3 linked regions of the Struthio camelus genome follow. The protein of the gene in region 2 purifies or fractionates together with the protein of the main gene of each other region. This does not show direct contact. Links are inferred from orthologs where the notes say so. Each region holds a gene or a part of one and is shown on either strand. Other genes may lie near its edges.

Region 1 (7,261 bases), on a different chromosome or scaffold from region 2:
TGCTGGGGCTGTCTTTTGGAAAAGCCCTTGGCATCAGCCCTTACATCTCACAGAAGCCCAGAGCTGCTCTGCCAACTCCTCTTGGTCTGCAGCATGCTTTGAGGTCCTCCAAAGAGAGACACTACTGCTGTGCAAGAGCAAAGGACCATTAATATTACACTGGTGGATAATTATTTAGCATCAGTGACCTCTGATGCTCCTGCTTTAAGGATTTATCTGTATCTCTGGGTCTCTTGCGCACCAGGAAGAGAAAGGGCCAGAGAACCATGGGTAGTTTTAACCAACAGAAGCTCAAAAGTTGGCTTCACATCAGTACTAAAGCTATAGGATTAACTGTTTATTCTGAGCTTGAAAACTAGGCCAGTAATTTAGGCTCCAGAATAGAACTGGGAGGGCAACTTTTGTTTCTTTAGCCTGGTTTCCTAAGGAAATAAAGCTTATGCAATTAAGTTATCTGTGCGTACATGTGGGCCTCCCCTTTTAACTTTGCCTCCTTCAGCCAGTTCAACCATGTTTCACCAAGATAATGTTTTGTTCTGCATTTGGGGAAACAAACAGTTGTGTAGACCAGAGGGATGTATGATGGCCTGAACTCAAATATATTATAAGACATCGGGGGGTCCAAATTGCTAGTGCCTCCCAGAACTAGATCACACCTCACTTTGTGTTAAATGCTGGCAACACAGAGGCTTTGGAAACCCTGTTTGCATCTTAATGTAGGATATTTTTTTTCTCTTTTAAATCTTTATTCCAGGTGCCAAAGAACTGTCCCACACACCTGAGTTCTATCATATAAAAAAACAAGAGTCAGCTCAGCCTTGCAGCAACCATGTGAGTGTGGTGGAGGCCTGGCAGTGAGGCAGAGGCCATGTGCTGTGCAGACCATTGCTCTGGACTGGAGCTGTGGAGAGGAATCCAGCCAAGAAGGACAGACGGCAGAGAAGAGCCCCTGCAATCTGTTGGAGGGGCTGCACAATAAACAAGAGCAGGAAGGCTTCAACATGCTAGGGGAGAGCAAGCTGTGTAGATAAAGGCGGCTGCTTCAGAAGAGTGGATGGTGACTAATTTTCTTTGCACGGGGTGGCCAAGGAGCAGGGAAAGAGGATTCTTCTTCACTGAGCTGGCTGTCAGAGGGGGGAGCAATCCTCACATGTTAGAAATACCGAGAGAAAAGGCTCCACAGGTCCCCTTTCATTAGGGTTTTAAGGGCAGCTGGGCTCCAAGTTTTAAGGGCTCCAAAGTTCAAATTTTGTCTTTGGTGATACAAAGAAGCTCTGGGAAAGGGTCTGATTCAGAGTGGAGTTGTGGTAGTAGCTGGGCTGTCAAATGGGCCAGTAGGCCATTGTCCTTGATGTGCCGAGGCAGAGAGAAAGTAGAGGGTATTAACAGATGACTAAGAAAAGAAATCCGGGAAGAACTGCTCTGGGAGAATATGGGGTCAGCCACTGTGCCCAGGTCCAACCCTGAACCCCAGCACCTGTGGGAGCTCTGAGCATGGGGTTCTGGCTCTCCATTAGGAAGCTTTGACCCTGCTGAGGACCCCAGACCAGAGAGGAAGGAGCACAGCCCCTCAGCCCACGGATCAGGTGCTGTAGAAAGTATTCAGCTCAGATCCTAGCAGCTCAGATGACAGATTGGTTTTCCCCAATGAGCTGTGCCAGCCCAGGGGCCTTTCCCTGCCTCCTCTGCCCTTAGACCTTCCTTGAAGGACTTGTGTGTGACCTGCACATTCTCACTCTGGTCACTTGACTGGTTTTACCTGGGAAGGAGCTGATAAAGCCTATGGTCTTGGGCTTAATTTCTTTTAAAGGGGGTGACTACAAGTACACCTCGGCTGGTCAAAGGTGAGTGTGTTTGGGAGCTGATAATGGTGTTGCTGAGCTCCATGCGGGCTTCTGAACTCCTCTGAGAAGTCGGAGCACCCGAGGGCTGTTACTGCATGCCAAGCTCTGTGTTTCTGATTGTCTCCCAGATGGCACCAGGCCTGAGGATATGCAGCGGTGAGAACCATGGAGGTGTGTTTGAAAGGGGATGGAGCAAGGTGAGTACATTCAGCACGACAGCAAGTGAGAGAGCCTGAGAGCAGCTCAGAAGATATCCCCAGATGAAGAACTGTGAGATACAGAACAGGTCCAGGATCCGGGGTCACTAATATTTCAGATATTAGCTGCTGTTTGTACAAGATGTATGACAAATGTCCAGGCAGTTTTGGTTTCTTTCAGCAGGAAGCAGTCAGGATCAGCCAGTCCAGTCCATGAGAGGATCACTACATTTTGAGTATGATCCAAATGATGGAAAGATCCTAGTGAGAGCAGTACTGAGAAGCCTGTTTCCTCAAGCTTTTTTGCTAACTGGAGTGGTTCTGAGGAAGCGGAAGAACCATCTCCTCCCCAGCAGAGCTGGGGTCTGCTAACCCACTCATCCTCTCAGGATTTTCTTACTGCATCTCTGTTCCCTGACCTAGTATGTGGAAGGTGAATCCAAGCCATTGCTGGAAGCATGTTCTGATTGAAAGGACACCTGGAGTGCTACCAGCAAACTGCTTGCAAACGGCCTCTCATTTTGTAGGTCTGTTCTCTGCATGGTTGGGCTGTTCCTTGTGCCTTGCTGAAGTTGTGCCATATGGAGCAAATGCTTCAACGTCTGTCTGTGTGTCTGCCTGACCGTGCAACCCAAGAGCTCTTATCTCTGCAAATGATGCTTTAATTTCATTGTCCTCATGAGCTGGGGACAGTCCCTGAGAGGGGCTTTTCTCTACTTCTCCCAAGTCTATTCTTTTCCAGCTCTCCCAAAACATAAGGAGTCATCACGAGAGCCCTGGAACTGAACAGCCGCTGGAGAGAGAGAAAGTGGCTGAAATACTTGCAGGGTTATGCTCTGTGCTTCCTCCCTCTCTTGCCTGTATGTAACTCCGGGCTCTGGTTTAGCTTTGAGCAGCGCAAAGTGTGACAAGAAAGAAAAAAAAAAACTGATCTCTCATCCCTTCCTTCCTCTCTCTGCCACTTAATCAGCTTGAGGCCACTGGCTCAAAAGGGAAGAAAAGGGCAATCACTGATGATCTGAAATGAGACCACAGGACTGAACATCCTTTCTTACCATGCTCCGGCTCTGCAGGGGGGAGCCCTGGCTTCTGGAAGAATGGTCAACTTTTACTCTTTTGCTGTCTTCCTAAGAGAAACTAAGACAAAACTCTTGGTCCAGATCTCTCCTCAGCACTGTGGCTTTCTTTAAAAGTTGCATGTTTGCGAGTGTCTGCGTGTATGTGCCATGCTCACGTTTGTGTGTTTGTGATTCCTGGGTGAATAACTGCACTCCCGGGGTTGTGCTATTTGTCAAGTCGCACCTCATCCTCGCTGCCTGCCTTGTTTTTCTCAGGCTGACGCGCTCCTGACTAATGGCAGTCACTGCTTCTTAATCAGAAAGCAATTTAAGGATAACCTTTTTTAATTAACAGTGGAGAGAAGACTGAATAAATAAACTGTGAAGCAGCCAGCTGGCTGCTTTGTCCCTAGCTGAGGGGTCTGTCAGGTGGGGGAAAAAGGTATTTGGGGACAGCGACGGCAGGGGCTGAAGTAGAAGGTGGGAAGGGGCTAGGCTGCTACCCAGAGACGATCACTCCAGCTACTCTGCTCTGGTCGCTCACAGGGGAATCATGACTTGAACTGTCCAGGAGGGACAGCTTGCTCTACGTATTTAAACCCTGAAAAGTCCTTTTATTCCGAATTTTAAAATGGAGGCAAATAATTACCTCATTGTGAATTTATTGCCACTCTTTTTCCATGTATTAACTCTGTTTTTAATTTCATGCACTTACTAACACCTCTAAGAGTGACGCCCTTCCTCCCAGGCCAACCAAACCCGGGGCACCAGGACACCGTTGTACGTGTGGTTTTGGGAGCGTGGCCCAAAAGGATTGAGGCTGTGGGGCACCGGGGTAGGGCAAAGGCACGGTCCATCACGGGTAGAAGGGCTCCTGCGCCCTGCATGTTCGTACGAGAGAAACCGGGGCGAGAGGAGGGTGCTGCGGCGCCCGGCTCCACAGCTCGAGCCCCTGGGCCGCGCTGCCCTTCGCGCCCATAAGATGGCGCCGGGAGGAGAAGACTACATTTCCCAGCATGCCGAGCGGCCCACAAACCATCCCAGTTCGCGGCGTGCCACCTGCGGTGGGAGTACTTTATTCTCTAGAGCGGGGCCTGCTGGGAGTTGTAGTCCGCGCGGCTGCGCGCCCTTTGGCGGGGATACCCGGCCTCTGCCATCCGGTGGGTGCGCGGGCGTTTGGGGCGGGGGGCGCTGGGACGTGGCTGCGACTCAGGCGCGCTGCAGGGGAGCTTCGGGGCGATGTGGGACATTGCGGCCTGTAGGGCGGGCGCCGGGCCCCTGAGAGGTGAGGGCGGCCCGGGCCCCTGTTAGGGGTGGGCTCCGGGCCCCTGTGGGGTGAGGGGGCCCAGGCCCCTGTTAGGGGTGGGCGCCGGGCCCCTGTGGGGTGAGGGCGGCCCGGGCCCCTGTTAGGGGTGGGCGCCGGGCCCCTGAGAGGTGAGGGCGGCCAGGGCCCCTGTTAGGGGTGGGCGCCGGGCCCCTGAGAGGTGAGGGCGGCCCGGGCCCCTGTTAGGGGTGGGCACCGGGCCCCTGTGGGGTGAGGGGGCCCAGGCCCCTGTTAGGGGTGGGCGCCGGGCCCCTGTGGGGTGAGGGGGCCCAGGCCCCTGTTAGGGGTGGGCGCCGGGCCCCTGTGGGGTGAGGGAGGCCCGGGCCCCTGTTAGGGGTGGGCGCCGGGCCCCTGAGAGGTGAGGGCGGCCCGGGCCCCTGTTAGGGGTGGGCGCCGGGCCCCTGTGGGGTGGGGGGGCCCGGGCCCCTGAGAGGTGAGGGCGGCCCGGGCCCCTGTTAGGGGTGGGCGCCGGGCCCCTGTGGGGTGAGGGGGGCCCGGACCCCTGTTAGGGGTGGGCGCCGGGCCCCTGTGGGGTGAGGGAGGCCCGGGCCCCTCTTAGGGGTGGGCGCCGGGCCCCTGTGGGGTGGGGGGAGCCTAGGCTGGAGAGTGGGCGCTGGGACAAGGGAGCCTGGTGTTTGGGAGAGGAGTGGGGCAGGGAGTGAGCCCCACAGTGCAGGGAGAGGAGGGCAGCCCCCAGGATAGGATGCTAGGAGTAGGTGAAGCGAGGCCAGTTCCTGGGAAATGCGGTGGGAGCTGGGTCCTTGTTCCCATCAGAAGGTCCTTGAACTGGAGTGGACCTTCCTCAAGGCAGGAGCTGACCCTGCCCTTTGCAGCAAAGTATTTCTGCTCTATGCTGTGAACGGCCTGAGGACTGGAGGACGCTCAGGAAAGATGGGGTGTGGTCCCTTCTTTTTTGTTAGGTACCAAAAATGTGAAACACTTCCCATACAAAACTGTGCAGATTAACTGCTTTGCATGCATTTGCCTTTGTGGGGCAGCCTCTGTGCTGCAGGGTGTCCCTGTGTTTGGCCTTTTTATCTGAACTGCCAACAGCTGGGATTGGGGAGGAATGGTGCCCCAAGCTGGCACTGGAGTGGTATGAGCAGGTTCTCCTTTTTCCATATGCTCTATCTATGTGGAACTGCCCTGCAAAGCCTAGCAGCGGTTGTCAGCATCTGCATGCTGACAATGGCTTAGCATTGACCTGACAGCTTTGCTGTTTTTGTGTAGGATCAGTTACAGTAGTACCTGATCACTAAGAATACCTACAGAGTTGAAACTTCCTGTCTGCTATATTTTTATAGGCTGGCCTCCAATCCTGTAAAGAAGCAACTGCCCTGAGATTAACTCCCGATGTGGTTTTGATTCAGGATTATTATTTGAATTGCTGAAGATGTCATCAGGCCTTACAGAGGAGCAAAAGAGAAGAATCGAAGAGAACCGCCAGAAGGCCTTGGCTAGGAGAGCAGAGAGACTAGCAGCCCAGAGAGGTGGGCAGGTGGGGAGCACTGAACCTCAGCTGAAAGAGCGCAGTTTACGCAATCAGGGAAACTTGAAGCAAGAAAACGATCATGTCAGGTTCATTAGCCAGCACCAACAGAATCCGAACAGTCCTAAGGAGCAGAAGAGCTATCTTCATAAAGATTATAATCATTGCACTGCAAACCAACAGATGGCTGGCTCACATGGAGAGCAACAAAAGAATTGTTCGGAGGACTCAGAACAAGCAAGTGGCATTAAGCAATTCCCTGCAACGATTCCAAATTCTCTGAGTTATTCCCATCAACATAACTCAGGTGCTGATGGCCAGAAACACAATCAACAAGCTTTAATTAATCTTGGTACATTCCAGCAGTCCAAGTACTACCCAGCTTACAAAAACCCTACAGAACTATCTCATCCCAGATTAATAGATAACTGGCACCCTGGTGATATTAAAGATTTACAAAGTCAGAGCAAATCTGCCACTAAATATGTTTCACCACCAAGCAGCACCACCCCAGGTGATTCAGAAATGCTGATAAACACAGGCAGATCAACAGAAAAAGAGGGAGGAGGTGGTGCCTCTCAGGCCAGTGGTAAGGTGCAAAAGCTGACCAGCTCTGCTGGTGCAGGCTCTACCTTTGAAGCTGTCTCTCACAAGAAAGCATGCAGTGTTACAAAAGGAAAGTGTGTGAAATATGGAGAAGATCGATTCCAGGTTGAAATAGGGTATAATGCCGAACTCATTGCTGTGTTTAAGAAGGTACCAAGCAAAAGCTACGGTAAGATTTGCTTGTTTGCTCATATCTCTGTTTTACATTGGAACAAAATTTCAGCATCTCTTGGAACTGTAGTTGATATATGCTCTTAGCAATGCATCTGCTGTTAGGGTGGAATATGGAATATTAATGGGGGATTGGAAGTAAAGGCAGTTGAAATTTGGAAAGAAATTCAGGGACTGAATAGCTTGAACTTGGATTTAGCCAAGAAATCAGAAGTCCTGACTTATGAACCATGCTGTGAGATGATTAGTGGTGCCAGCTGGTCAGGGTCTTTTGGGAATGATGGAAGAGAAGTTATTCATAAACTGATGTGGGAAAATGGGTCAGTCTGAATTCAGCTATCACTCAGAGTTGATGGGCTGATTCTGTTAACTGGGTTACTGACAGGACTAAAGCCTGCACCTTTTCTGGTTGCTTCTGTTCTTTTCTTCTGGCTGTTATTTGCATATTTATTATTGTTAGTATTTTTTTTTCTCCTCTGTTGCTGCTTTCTGTGAATGGCTGCTGCATTGTTCTTACATTGTACCTTCTGACTTCTTGGGGGACCATGTACCTGAAAACCTGGGCATGCTGT
Region 2 (7,530 bases):
CAACTGCAAAAATCAACAAGCTCCAGTGCAAGGTAATGTAGGATAAAGAACCATGTGGCTGGGAGCAGAGGAATGACTGGACCATGGCAGTACTCTAGATCAGCTCAGGCTTTGAGATCCTGCCTACAGTTCAGCAGTACGGCAGTATATTCCGTGTATAGTTTTTCCCATGGTAGTACCCATTCCTACATTCTTCTCCATATCTGACAGCTTGAAGAATGACATTATCCAAAAGAAAGGATTATCTGGCTCTGCCTTCTTCCAGGAATCAAGTTCTGAATGCAAAATTAGTTTGTTATAAGGTATATTCTTACTTACCAAAAGGACTTTTATCTTCTCTGAACTGGACATATGACATACACATGATGGTTGCCTGACTTGTTACTCTTCCCACTACTTCAAGAATTCCTGAGATCTCTTCATCTAGCTAGAGAACATACCAAAAATGACATTAGCATCACCAAGTTAAGTACAGTCTGCTCTGCACAGAACTTGAGCTAGAAACTCTCAGCAAACTGAAGGTTTGTTCATTACAAAAGATTCTGTTCTGTGTCATGCAATACAATACTACTGGGGGAAAAGGAAAAAAAAAAAAAGCAAAAGCTTTGAGTCATTTACAGATGTACAGTTTTTTGTAACAGCCATTTAAGTTCTCAACAGAGAAAGAAAAGAAGTATGAAGAACCATCAGAAGGAAGATAACACTGTAATGGGTATATACAGCTGTGTCATTTAATCACTGCGCAGAGGTAGTAATCTAGGACTCAGTCAGCAGAAGAATAATACAGTAAAGTCTCCTAGAAGCTTTCTCAGGTGCTCTGTCAAGAAGCGTTCAGAGTACAAGGACAATGGCATTAACAAGCTTTTGGTTGAATAAGAAAAAAAAAAGCTAAAAATAAAAATTATATCTTACCACAAACTCATGTAGATTTAACTTACTTTTTTATTATTTTTTACTCATTTTAAGAGTGTGACACTATTTCTATAATGTCCTTCTAATACTAACCTTATACTTATTTTAACCTTCTAGTAAGCTTACTGGAACATAGAAATAGATCTCCTCTCTCCCCGCATAATTTTATATTTCTCTGTTGGAAGGAGGGACTACACACACAGAAACAGAGGAAACTCTCAAAGGAAGAAAGCTAGAAGCATTCTGACAGGGAAATCTAGAAGTCTCTCTACTTATGTTAGGCAAACTAGAGAGATGGGCCTGGCATGATATTTCCGCACACCCTAGTTTCTCCTCCTTTACCTATTCATGCAGAACTGGAACACAGACTGTGAAATGTCTAATACAACTATGCATTTTTAAGTTTTGCTCATTTACTCTGTTACAGAAAGTTGTAGGATCATTAATCAGATGCTGATATCTGAAGTGTAACAACCCAAGACAGGAAAACTCACGAGCTCATGTAAGAATTAAGAAACGGGTAGAACTTGCAAGAAAACATCTTTCCCACAAGATGAAGTTGAAGACAGCAAGTTTCACATTTATAAAACGGAACTCTTTGCCAGATCCAACTGCATTTTTATTCAGTAAGGTGAGATTCCTATCTTGAAAGCCAGCGAGTATGACACAGAACTAATTCACAGGAAATGGTAGATTTTTCAGTGTTTAACAACTCATTCACATAAACGATGGAAACACTATGGATATATTCGGACAAGCCAGAGCATTTGCCATCATAGGTACACTACCTGATAACTGGAAAAACTTGCAAGACAGAAGAGAACACGAGTGTCTTATTCCTTTAGTGATAAGAGAGGAACGTGATAACACACGAAACAAAACTTCCTGGCAGCATTTATATGCAATGAGTATATGAAATGCATAATTGCTTAATGATTTTTTTCAACAGAACGCTCAAGCTGATGATGAAGTTCACTGGAATACAACGAGAAGTGTTCTAAGAGATCAGTAAAATGTCAGCTCAAGAGAATACCAATTTCTTGGAGGTTTTTTTGGACTATCTTTACAAAATAATCTGTTAGGAATACAAAGATAGACAATAAAGAAAAGAGAGAGAGAAGAGAAAGCATAACAAAACTAAAGCAATATAGTAAAGTATTTCACATTGTAAGCAACAAACAGAGTAAGATGAAGTAGCCAACTAGCAATGTCACTGGAAAAAGGGAATGAACTGAGTGTCTTACACCACCTGAAAACTGCTGAGCTGATTAACATCAGGACTACGCAAGTTGAGTTGAAGGTGCAAGGAGCATAGAGAAAAAAAACAGGTGCAAAAGTGAAAAACAAGGGAGATCTTTTGCTTTTTCTGACTAAAAACGCAGTACGTTCAAGGCATGCCCAAAATTCAGAAAAGACAAAGCCGCCGGTATCTAAAAACGGCAATGCCAATTACTTCTAAAGCGATCTTCAACTTACGGGTTCGCTCAGCTCCACAGTTGCATGCTTTCCTTCTCCATCCGAAAGGACAAAAAGTTTCCCAGTAGGGTGAATCTACAAAAGAAACCAAGTCCGCCTGCTCAAAACGCAGCTGCAAACGTTACAGACGTAGCTCTTCTACGCCAGAACAGCGGAGGAGCTCCGGTGTTTCTCCACCGGACCCAGCAGCGCCGCTGCGGCCAGCTCCCGCCCGCCCGCCCGCGGCGGGGGCCGACTCGGGGCTCAGCGGCCGCGGCCCCTCAGCCTCGGCCGCGCCCGCGGCGAGCAGGGCCCTCCGGCCGCCGCCGGGGAGGCCGCCTGAAGGCGGCTCGGGGAAGGCCGCGCGCTTCGCGGCGGGGCAGCCGGCGGCGGCAGGGGCCGCGGTACCTTCTCCACGCGGCCCACGAAGCAGACGGGCTGCCCGATGTAGCGCGCCAGGTGGCCGGTGGCGATGCGCGGCCGCGGCACATCGTGCACGTCCCCCATCGCCGCCCGCTTTCCCGCGCTGACCGGGGGGCCGCCGCCGTTACCTGGCAACGCGGGAGGCGTCCGGGCGGGACTTCCCCTTCGCCTGCCAATCGCCTGCCTCAGCGAGAAGCCCCCCCCCCCGCCCTACCTCCCGCGGCCTGACGTCATCGAAAGCGCGCTGCGTCCGACGGAGTGCGCGGAGGTGGGTTCGGCGCGTGAAACGAACTGCGCGCGCGCGGCGTCCGGGCGGCGCGTGACGGAACCCGGAAGCGGAGGTGGCTGTGCGGCGTCGGCGTCGGCGTCGGGCTGGTTGGGGGCGCGCCGGTGAGTGAGCGCGGGGGGCGGGGCCGTGCGCCAGCGCCCCCCGTGGGCCGGGCCGGGCGGCGGCGGCGGCAGCGTCCGTTGGGCGCGGGACGGGGACGGGGACGGTTGCGGGGGGAGCTGCCGCGGGGCGGCGCTTCCCGGCCTCCGGGGCCGGGGTTCGGGCTCCCGCCGCTGCGGCCCGGGCGGTTGGCTCGTGCTCCCCGCTCTCTGTTTTTCCCCTCCTATTTCCTTGAAGATCCCGATCGGCTGCTTTGCTCACTTTTGCGCCACAAGGAAAAGCTTAAAAGACCTGCCTCTGCCCTTCAGCCGGCAGTGCGCTTCTTCCGGCTGCTGAGACAGGGAACAACTTCAAAAGGGATGCGTCTCTCAGTATTGCTCTTACTCGTCCCCACATCTTCCCCGTTATTCAGAATCAAAATATGTATGAATGTTCCTTTTTTTTCCAGTTCCAGGCCTCTGTCTGATACATATTTTGCCCTTTAGCCCTTTTTCCCCATATCTCTTCCTCTTAAAGTACACTTCTTTCTCCTCTTACCCGAGAGCCTTGCTCTGTATTGACTACTTTTCACCATTTTGTCTAGCCCTTTAGAAACTCATTCTGCGCTTACTTCAGAGTATTACTGCTAAAGCTATGCTTTCTTGATTCTTACTTGTTTTACAGAGGTGTACACTGTTGACATTTCTGTGATTACATTGAAAACGCCCCATGGCTGTTACAGAAGCAATATCTGAACATTTCATACTAAAGAACATAGGCTTGCTGCCATATTGGTCCTGGGAGTTAGAGTGAGTTATCTCCGTTTGTTGAAGTGCAGCAACTAACTGGCATAAGACGGAGCTAAAATCTGTACATGAGTGCCTTCACCATAATATTTCCCCTTTCTCGGTGTTTTCTCACAAATCTTCCATTGTGTACAGAAGTTCCTTCAGCTTTCCTTCCCAAGACTCACATTTCAGGAAACATTTGAAACAATCTAGCACTACACTGTGCTTTAAAAGCGCAGGCCAACACTACCCATGCGCTGGCTGTCTCTTCTGACCCAAAGTGGGTTAATTCAGCGTGCTAACTAGCAGGAAGCGACTCTTACTCTGCTGGGATAGTTTTGTGAAGGCTGAGCAAGCTGAGCCAGATCACCAAGGAATCATTCTGCTGCCAGAGCCTGTGCAGAACCAGCACGCAGCCAGGAATGAGAGGGCGGTGGGATCGTGGCTTTGGTGGGCTGCAGTTGGATGTCGTCTTATCTCCTGTCACTATGCCATTCACCTTTTCAGTAGTTCATTTGCCAGAGAATATCGTAACCTGAATAACATATCGTAAACATGACAGTTGGAGCCCAGATGCAGCACGCTGCTGCAAAGTGGCCCTTTTAGGGCCTTTGGTGCCTGCCAAACTTGAAGGGTCAGCTGTTAGAAAAATACATCTTAAAAATTTTTACACGTGTATGCCTGTAACATGCATAGTCGCTGTTGAAGCTTTGCAGTCAAAAAGAGAACTGCTTGTTGGGGAAGAAATGGGTTTGCAGCCTAACAAGGGTAATGTATCTAATAAATACCTGGCTTTCAGTCTTAGCATCTTTTATCTTCTGGAGAGTTTTCTTAATTACTTCCAGAGAGTTTTCTTAATTAGAGAATGTTGACATTAGTTTGAGATCTGCTATTTGAAAACTCCTGACTTTGCCTTTGTCACTTACGCTTTTATTGCCTAACTTCATCGTAATTACTTTTTTATCATGCTTTTTTGCTGCATCATTGAGTGTTTTTATACAATGTTAATTTGGATTGCATAGGTCTTGGTGTTTCTTCTTCCGTAAAATTTCATGAAAATTTTTATGTATGTGAGAAAGTCTTTATTAGTGTTTCTTATAAGTATTTCCCTTTTTTGTATTTGTTGATACTTATTTTCCTTTCTCATGCTTTCGAGAAGCCTGAGCTAAAGAGATATATGACTAATAAGAATAAAAGACATAATCTGTTGTACTTCTTAAGATAGTAACTTATGCTAGGTGAGAACCTTTTTAAACTGCATTTTCAGTGTTACAGAGATACCTTCTTTTTAACACACACATTCTTGACTCCTAAATTGGTTGTTTTCATGTTACAGAAAGGGTTGTACAGGGCTGTAAACATCTCGCTCTTTTTCATATTGCTACTTTTATTGGTGAATCATAGTGCATACTAATATGGAAAAGGTTTGAGAATCTCTGCAATGCACTCTGTTTTCTGCTTCCATAGATTATACAGCTTAAACTGCTAGATGTGAAGTTGTTTGGGTTCTTTTAAATCAAGTTTTGTACATTGTTCTGATCTAATTTCATTGTTCATATAATTACTGAGAATGCCACTGCAGTTCTGCTTTGCTGTATTCCTGGGCCTCCTCTGTATATCTGCATCATTGCAGATTACTGCATCATTGTTTTTTTTTTTTTTTTAATGTTTAATTACCTTTCTCTTCCTGTCACTTGCAAGCATCCTGGAAAAGAGCTGAAAAGTAATGCTGAATATGCCAGGATAAACACTGTATGCAAAGTTTATTGGATGCAACATACTGATTTGACTCTCAGGTCACCCATGCTTCTTGTCAAATGAGACTGACAAAAAACACAAGGAACAAATTAACCCCTTTGTACAGCTCTGTAACTCATCTTTGTCCAATCATATGTATGTTCTCAGAGCCTCACATAAAGACAAAATATTTTGTGTAGTTCCACAGAATTGCTATAGTTCACAGTTTATTGCTTGCTAATGACTGAAGTGGTGCCAAAAGCATTATTCTTAACTATCAGCAGTTGAGATTGAAGGAAGAAAAAATTATGTTCACTTTTTGGTGAGGGTGAAACATAAGGCAAAGGGAATTGCTTGTTTCTGTCAAGGGAGATTTTTATCTTTAGGCAGTGAATTCAATTTCAGGTCTTCTATAGAAATAAAATTAATCCCATCTGGAGGGGAAAGTGCTGTGTTATATAGGAGACATTGCTGCAGGACTGTGGTACTTCCCTGAATGGTGGATGTATTTTCTGAGATTTTGTGTTGTCAGCTTCAAAAAAAAAAAAAAAAACCAAAGAACTTAAATTCTCTTCTTTCTATTCTATATGACCACGCATCCAAGTCCACAAACTTCAAATTTAGTTTTTAATCTGAAGTTAAACTTGTGCAGAAACCAGTTACTCTCAGTGTTAGTTAAATGAAACCCCATCATATCCACAAGTAGTAAAACTTCAGCCTGGTTATGCAAGTGCTTAAGCTGTGTTCTTATCTTCAAGAGCATGACTGTTTCCATTCAACTCAGTGTTTCTTTGTTGGGCAGGGGCTTTGTTCTCTTCTTAACATTTAATTCAGGAAACTTAGCAGTTACATTTCACATTGCTTGAGAGGTGTATGTTTACTTCCAAAGTACCACAGTTGATAAAATTCTTAAGAGAGCAAATATCACAAATACCAGCCATAGTGTTGCCTATCTAGAACTTTTCCTTTACATATGTGCATACTTTATACTGCTCTACTTTTTGTTTCTGTGTGCCCTCTCCTATTTTTTTTAGTGAATATTTGTTAAGCTTAAACTTAATAATTATTTTCAGCAAAGATACTGAAATACTGCAAGTAGTAGTTGGCATACTCCTTACTTCATGAGAGTTATGTGGATCTATGTGATTTAGGATTTAGTTATGTGTCTTAAGTGGTGAACACCAGAGGAAGAAAGAGCCTCACAAAGCATATTAGTCTTTTAATATGCAGGTTCCTTACCACCTTCCCAACATTCACAACCGCAAAAGACAACAGGTGCTGTTTGCTTCCGTCTGGACCAGTGCTTTCATCAGTAAGAACTTGAGGCCTGAGTTTATGGGATACTTTGCTTTGTTTATTTTTCATTTTCAAGCCAGGACGGGGGAATCGTTTTGTTTTTGAGAAATACTGCAGGTAGTGCAAATCAGTTTAAAAAAAACTACTTACAGAAGCTGTAAACTACAAAGTAAAGATGAAGCCGTGTGCAGATCAGGTGAATTTTGTGTTTTTAAAACATTTGGGGTATTTGGAAAGGCCTACCTTCTGTCAGCAAAAGGAAAACATCTATTATGTTAAAGTTTTCGTAACATTAATTTGGCAAAGAATTGAAACATCTGTGATCTTTTTTTTTTTTAAGTTCCTAAGTTTATGTACATTATATGCAGGATTTAAAAGATGATAAAAGTATGGATTCCTGTACAACTCCATTGTACCTTCATTACATGTATATTAAATAAGATGCTTTCCTTTGTATGTGCAAGAAAGAGAGGAAGGGGAACACTGTGTGTTAGTACTGAAAACTGCACAATAATGTATATCTCAAAGAGGAAAAAATGTGATTGCGTGGGG
Region 3 (7,497 bases), on a different chromosome or scaffold from region 2:
TACGTGTCACATGTTCCTTTTTTATCACATGGAATAGCATTTTGAAATACTTATTGGGATGGTTATTGCATGACTGTAATCCTCCCATTTTAACATTTAAAATGCTTTGATCGCATAGATCATACTTTATGAAAGAGAAAACCCAAACACAAGTCATTATGGATGCCACTGTACCTCAAAAGTAGACAGCTGCCATGACTACCAGATATTTGAGATCAAAACACTCATGACAGCTCTGCAACATCATGGCTGTGCACTGACAAAGTAAAGACAATAGGCTTCTCCCCAATAACTACAGCAGAGCTAGTACAACTTGCATCTTATTGCAGACAACACGGTGCATCAGCATGAGATGTGAGCAGTGTAGTGGACTTGTGCTCACAGATGCTTAATCTGGCCAAAGTTATGAACTGCACTTCTTTTCTCGTTTTTGATGTGCCTGGGAGCATGCTTTAATCAAGATTTCAAAAGGTTTCCCACTATAAGACCGTGAATCTAGTTTCTTACTGTTTTGTCAGATTTAATAGTACGGGCTATCATGTTATTTGATAAAGTTAGAAAGAGATTAAACTGATGAGAGTCATATAAGGACGTGAACTTGGGAAGAAGGTTATGATTAGCTGAATGACGAGTTGGGGAAAGGAAAGGCTCTGACCTTTAACTTGGAAAACAAGTAGTAAAGACCAGTGAGATCTGATCAGGAACAGCTGAGAAGCGGGGGTGCACAGGGAGGGGAAGAGAAGAAGAAGGAATAAATGATGCCACTAGCTCGAGTGGCAGAAGTCAGTGTTGGCTCCCACCCTGATGCCGCAAGCAGGTGTCAGCGTGATGTTACATAGCGCAATTTCCTGCCTCAGGCTGTGCATGTGATGAAACTGGTTTCAGAATGAATTGAGGCTGAAAGAGTCTGGGATCTCCAGGGCACTTGCCAATACAGCTACATCAGTTGGGAGGCCTAACGGACTATGCTGTTCAATTCTCACCTATCAAACTTCCTTTTCTGTCCTTGCCTCTGTGAAGATAAGTGATTCAAATTATGAAACCAACTTTTGACTTAACCTTTAATTATGTATACCCCTTGTTTTATGGGCTCAGCTTGAAAACTCGGAGTTTGATCTGCAGAAGTGCTGAGCGCATTAGCCAGAAAGAATGGAGTCTGAGTGTATACAATGTTAGTCTGAGTTAAGACACAGTCATTCTGCCTTTAGATATTCAAATGAAGATAGAGAAAAGATTTAAGGACAAAGTTCACTCAGAAAAAGTGCACTGTTTACATTAACATCACCTACTGAGACCTAATAGTTTTAAGCACTCAAAAAATCACAACTTAATTTATGTAATTGCTCTCAGCAGTGTAACACATATCAAAGACTTACCTCAAAGAATTACACAGCAAAAACTGCTTGAGATGGGATCAAATCTTTTCTAAAGACACAAAATTGTGATGGATACATAGAAAGCCTAACGTAAACAGAACCTAGATGACAGATTTACAAAGAATTTTTGGAATTTTTGGTCTGCAATAAAATACAAATTCCTATTTCTACAATGTAAGAGAAAACCATTTGTTATTACTAGAGACTCTAGTAAACATCATATTCCCTACAGAATTCATCTAACAGAGAGAAACATTACCATCTAGTAAGAGGACATTTCGATACTTATCAACGCCATTTAAAAACGTTGAATTTAACCTGAAGTTTTAATTTCAGGAAACACATTGTTGTGTTTTCCTTATCATCACAGCATTATAATAGTATACTTCTTTAGGGCAATTCTTAACCTGTGAGGTCCTTTGAATATATATGAGGTTCAAAGAACATTAGCCGTGTACCATGACACATTGCAAAGATTTCTTAAATGATTGAAGTGTGCTGTGCCCTAAAAACACCGAGAAACACTGCCTTGTGGACTTCAAAAGTATCTCAGTATTATGTTACAGGTTTATCTGCTTTGTACTTAGATAAGTTTCAAAAAAACACAAAATACAAAATTTGGAATAACTCTAAAGAAAACATTGCTTCAAAATAGTTACAATAAAAGTTGATTCGGTTCTAAAATTGTATCAAACTACTAAAATATAAAAAATCAAATACACAATGACCTAGAAAATATTACCAAAAAGGAAAGTGACTAATCTATTTGATATTTCTCAACATAAGAACATGTATTTTTCTTCACACAACTTTCCCTCTCTATAAACAAGACAAGGGCTTCACTAACAACAGTAAGACTGTTTTTGTTCAGTAAGGAAGAAACTGGAAGCTCATGATTTAATAAATATCTCAGGTTTTAAAATATATTTTGGAAAATATCAACATAAAAATCCCAAATAAACCAGGCAGTAAGTGATTTGCAAAAAGGTAGAAAACAAGTCTGATTTGTTTACTCTTTGGTTTAGTTATAAATAGGATGACAATATTGGGAGTACTTCAGCTATTTTTAAAAAAAAAATAGTACTTTTAATTGGATCATATGCCTTTAAAACATAACCCGTGATCAATGATACGATCAAACGGGATATTGCCCTTATTTTATCTTACAAAGCACATCATAATACAGTGAGTATTAGGTTTTGTTTCCAGTGACACAGCAAGGTTTCTCATACTTGCAGTGGTTTCATAGGCACACATGCAGAAACACCGCGGAGTCTCTCCACTGTAACCAGAAGTGATTTACGGTCATTCCAAGTATTTGGGCTGATCTACTTTACATAAAGGGTTAAACTCTTGCCTTCCAAGAAACATGAACATGTCACAAGCCCACAGGCGCATACTGCTCTGCTTGACGTTATTCTAGGTAGCTTTATCAAATACAAACATAGATAACCACCTGCAATAATTCTTTAACATTATTTAAACAGTTTGTGTGGCTCTTACAAATGTCAGCCATTTAAACTACTCTTAATTTTGGCATTGGGAATAAGTACAGCTTTAAAAATGGCATAATGAGAATTAAATACATAAATATAAACATATCATTAGAGTTGTTTTTCTAAAGTGATACCTTTTTGTTTGCATAGCCATTATAGTCCAAGATTTACGGCATAATTCGCAAAAAATACTGAAATCACAGCCTGTGCTGTGGGGTCTATATTTACTTGCTTGCTCTTCCATTTCTTTATCCAGAAATGCAAATTCACAAGCTACACTAATACTAAAAATATGAAGGAAAGAGTCCACCTGGCCATACTCATTCATAAAAGAACAGTGGCAACTTCTATATAAATAGGGCCTTATAATTATTTACAGCTTAATTTAAGGAATTAAACAGAACTAGTAATAGAGACCATGAGCATTCCTGTTTTCTCAGGTCAGGCAAAAAGATCTATCTTTTATATCTATGCAACTATCTTTGTTGAGAGTTCGACCATGACACCAAGGAGATAGCCTCTTGTTCTTACAAAAAGAGAAAATGAGTACAAGAGGTATGCAAAGGATTAGTACTGTAAGACAAGTACCGATTGAATTTGTACTCTGTACTGCTTTATGAGTGGTTTTCTCAGTCAATGGCAATATTTGAAAGTCATAAATTCAGTTCATCCCCCCCTCCCTGCCCCTTTTTTCCTCCAAGACTATCAGTGAGTAGGGATTCAATGGGTTGGCAGAACAGAGACATCAAATAAATAACTATTATTAAGAAGGGAACTGATTTTTATTTGGATTGCCAAAGGTTTTTCCCTCCCAATGCCCAGCAAGTAAAGAAAGCATACAGGATTTCATAAAAAAAAAAAATCAGAAATAAAGAAGACAGTAGGTGAAGACTGAGCGTAACTCTTATTTTCTCTTCGACCCCTCGGACCCTAGCAGACTGTGAGCTCTCCTTGGCCTTAATGGAGGGGAGAAATCCACATAGAGAAATGGAAGTCTAAGACTTCCTGCACAACTGGGAAAGAAATGAGAAAGAGCCAAATCATATTTAGTCCGTAAGACACGTCGGAAAAGTAATTTAATGCATCGGGCTGATTCAGGTCGGACTCACTGTGACTGCACTGCCGTGCTACTATTTGCCTATCTATTTGGGATGCTTCATTTGCCTCAGTGCACAAAAAACCCGATCCACCTCATGCAGGCACAGCACAGATTATGGTTCAACGGTTAAACTGTCGGCTTTGCTGCTCTGCCGGCGGTGACCGCCCGCAACGCAGGAGACGCCTCTTCCTTCCAGAGCGGCAGAGCTAACTGCCCCGCACCGAGCAGCAGCTGCCCCCCGTTTCCTTCCCGGCCGACCGGCCAGGGCCTGAGCTGTAGCTGCCAAGCCGTCGCGCCAAGCCAAGGCGGAGCGCGTCGGGGGCTCCCGGCCGTTAACGGCACTCTGCCCTGCCCCGCTAACGGTCCTGCCAGCCTGCCCCGCACCCCCCCGCCCGCGCGGCAGGCTCCCTCCACCCCGCCCCGCCCCGCCCCGCCCCGTCCGTCGCGGCTGTGACGCCAGCGCCGCGCGCCAGGTGTTCGGAGTTGGCGCGAAGGCGGGGGGGGGGGGGGCGGGAGCGATGGAGCCGGCGGCCTCCCGCTAACGAGATAAACCGCCGCCAGCAGCATGGTGAGCGCGGCGCCGGGGGGAGGGGGGCCGCGCCGCGCCGCGCCCGGTGCCAGTGGGGGGCGCGGCCTTCCCCCTCCCCTCCCCTTCTCTCCGCGGTTTCTCCCCCCGGGGGGGGCGGGTGGCGGAGCGTTGTGCAGTCTCCCGCTGGGGCGGCGCGGCGCGGCCGTCAGCGTCCCCAGCGCGCGGCAGCGGCCGTTGAGGCTGCTGGCGAACTGGGCCGGCCGGGCCGGGCCGGGCCGGGCCGGGCCGGGAGCGGGGGTCCCGCGCTGTGGCGGAGCGGCAGGGGGCTGCCAGGGCGGGGGCGGTGGTGAGGCCACCGCTGGCAGCGGAGGAGCCGCTTATCCCTGCCCGCCCTGCGGCGCTCCCCGCGCCTTGGGGCTGCGGCCCGGCTTCCCCCCGGCCTGTGCCGCGGTGGCCTGTGCAGGGAAATTAAAGTCGTGGCCAGGGAAGCAGCTTCCCGCGGCTGTATGCGCAGCCCGGGTACCTGAAGAGGGAAGCGGCTGTGCCTGTCTCCGGCCCCCATCCACCCCCAAGCCGATGGCGCAGCAAGGTGCAGGCCGCGAGGCTGTCCGAGCGTGGGGTTCCTCCTCTTCCCAAGCACCAGCGGGCAGTCGGACAACTTGGCCTCTCTTTCCTGAACACAGCCTGTTTGCATCTGCCCTTAGTAAGGGTGTACGTGAGGAGATGTCTGTTTCACAAGTGCACAGTGTGCAATGTTTGTAGAAAGGCTGTTCAAGTCAGAAAAACAGAACTTGATCTGTAAGTGGAAGCAATTATAAATAATGAAGGAGGCAACTCCCCTATGCGGGATGCGCATAGCTTGTAAATGTATGTGTGTGTGCGTTACAAGATTGAATTTTGTCTTCTTCTCTTGATCAATTAAATTTGCTTCTGCTTAGATGGGGTCTGTGTGCAGGTGTTACAAGGTTAACTAAAAATGCTGCTCTATGCCAGCTTCATTCAACTCTGATTTTGAACTCCGTTTACATAGAACTTGACCTTGTTTGTATATTACACCTGACACTCAGCAATGATGGGCAGCACCACCCCACTCTTTCCCAAACTGATACAAAGGTTTGCCAGCACTACAAATCGTGATACTATTAAACCATGATATTTTGGTAGTCTGTTAGCGGTGGTTGACCTAGAGCTACATAGCAGGACAAGAGTTTCTCTGCCTCTCTTGTTCCCCTACCACCATCTCTTTACAAAACTGATCATACTGGGAAGTTTGCTTCCTCCTTTCCCACCTTGCTGGGATAAAGGCTCTCTTCCTGCATGTTGCCTCTTTCTAAGAGGCATGCATCTCACAGTGTTTGGGCCTTTCCTGGAAGGGAGGAAGACGGCCATCATTCTGGGGGGAAGGATGAGCTTCCCCAGTCCATTCCCTTTCCCGTGCTGAAGAGAAGAGGCTGTGCAACCATTGGTGCTGCAGCTGTAAAGAGGGAGGCAAAATGTAGTGATAGTAACCTTGTACCCTGCTCTGTGCTGTGCAAGGACACCACAAGCATACTGGCATTTATTTTATGTACTTTTAAACCTTTTTTCATGTAGCACCAAATACAAGTAGCCCCTATCTGCCTCATTCCACAGCATCTTCTCAGTTCTGCTATACTGATTTGTGTTAGAAAGGATTTACTTTTATCCGGGTTAGTTCCCTGATCCAGGTACCGTGCAAAGGGCTGTATAATGCTACAACTGAGGGAACGAATGACTGGTAGTAGGGGCTACTTGCGCTGCCTCTCTTGCAGCCATACAACAGTTATATGGCCATAACTGTAGTATCACTTGTGTATACTTAGACCTGTGATATTGTTCTAAAATAGTACCTGGACTATATAGTACCTAGACCTCATTTATTACTATTAGTAAGCTTTAAATTAGTGTAGGTATCCATGCAAGTATTACTGGTGTAACTGAAGTGATGTTTGGAATTTGATTTCAGGCAGTGCAGTTTTTGTGGACGTGCCAGGTGTCAAAGCTGATGTGTGCGCAAAACTTGCGCTGAAACAAACAGACTTGTAGATTAGCGCAAATGATTTTTTTGATGCAAAGCTCCTATGGATACACTTCAGAGTACCTAATGAAACTGCATTACTTGTTGTTGCAGTCATTGAGCTAGGTTGATGAAATTCAATTTTCTACCTCACAGTGTAGTTTTGAGATGCAAACTTAGTTGTAACAGTGTTATTCTGGAAAATACTCTGCTTTATTTGAACCCAGTCTTTTAAGAAGACTGCACTCGTTGTGGCTAATAATGCAGTGTTGCATGTACAGTGCACATTCTGACAGGGTTGAGATTCTTCTGTCATTGAAGCATTGGAATAGTTTTGTACTGAAATTTTATCTGCTCTGTGGTCTTTGGTTTAGGAGGCTTTTAAAATGCAGGAAAAAATTGTGAGAGAAAATCAGATTGGAGAGTTTATGAGAGAAGTGTTGCAAAGACAGCTTTTATAACTGAATTTTCTAACCTGAGTATTAGCTAGTCTTAAAAGTTACCCTGATAAACTCTTTGAGTAACCAGTCTTTGCACTAACAAATTGGTTTAAATTCAATTAGCCTTATTTCTCCCCAGTAAAGCTGACAGATAGAAATCTTTCAAGAGAAAACTTGCAACCTGACATGATTCATTTCTGTTCTCTACTACTTCTGCATAAGACTGAGGATTTGAAGCAGTAGTGAAAACTGCCAAGAACTGGACTACTTAGCCGTTAATGAGGTTATACAGTTTTACTAAGATAGCTCAGCAGGAAGCAGTGCACCTGGCTACAGCGTTTTAGGCTGACCAGTGCTGTGCACCAGCTACTCTCCAAATGTAGGCAGACTCATCAGAAATACTGGGCCTTGTTTGGGACCATGGTTGGGTCTCCTCAAAATGTGGTGGTGCAGATGTGGATCAGAATCCCTTGTTTAGTAGCCATGGTTTAAAAGAAGCCTTTAAACTCAATATGCCCAGTC

Evidence for each region. Proteins that work in one complex are often made in the same cells at the same time.
Region 1: the proteins of RPA3 (region 2) and SMARCAL1 purify together in Homo sapiens (affinity purification with mass spectrometry; 3 studies listed by BioGRID and IntAct, with this or other methods). This does not show direct contact. The link is inferred for Struthio camelus from reciprocal best matches to the Homo sapiens genes RPA3 and SMARCAL1.
Region 3: the proteins of RPA3 (region 2) and RFC1 purify together in Homo sapiens (affinity purification with mass spectrometry; 3 studies listed by BioGRID and IntAct, with this or other methods). This does not show direct contact. The link is inferred for Struthio camelus from reciprocal best matches to the Homo sapiens genes RPA3 and RFC1.

The regions. Positions count from the first base shown.
Region 1 is NC_090947.1:29,554,696-29,561,956, reverse strand, and holds the start of SMARCAL1 (SWI/SNF-related matrix-associated actin-dependent regulator of chromatin subfamily A-like protein 1), read left to right. Parts: upstream 1-4,172; 5' UTR 4,173-4,259; intron 4,260-4,267; exon of another isoform or gene 4,268-4,384; intron 4,385-4,431; exon of another isoform or gene 4,432-4,533; intron 4,534-5,197; exon of another isoform or gene 5,198-5,343; intron 5,344-5,727; 5' UTR 5,728-5,816; coding exon 5,817-6,687; intron 6,688-7,261. UniProt on the Homo sapiens protein: ATP-dependent annealing helicase that binds selectively to fork DNA relative to ssDNA or dsDNA and catalyzes the rewinding of the stably unwound DNA. Rewinds single-stranded DNA bubbles that are stably bound by replication protein A (RPA).
Region 2 is NC_090943.1:29,918,198-29,925,727, forward strand, and holds the start of RPA3 (replication protein A 14 kDa subunit), read right to left. Parts: upstream 3,094-7,530; 5' UTR 2,875-3,093; coding exon 2,776-2,874; intron 2,464-2,775; coding exon 2,389-2,463; intron 428-2,388; coding exon 319-427; intron 1-318. UniProt on the Homo sapiens protein: As part of the heterotrimeric replication protein A complex (RPA/RP-A), binds and stabilizes single-stranded DNA intermediates that form during DNA replication or upon DNA stress.
Region 3 is NC_090945.1:61,775,182-61,782,678, forward strand, and holds the start of RFC1 (replication factor C subunit 1), read left to right. Parts: upstream 1-4,408; 5' UTR 4,409-4,536; coding exon 4,537-4,539; intron 4,540-7,497. UniProt on the Homo sapiens protein: Subunit of the replication factor C (RFC) complex which acts during elongation of primed DNA templates by DNA polymerases delta and epsilon, and is necessary for ATP-dependent loading of proliferating cell nuclear antigen (PCNA) onto primed DNA.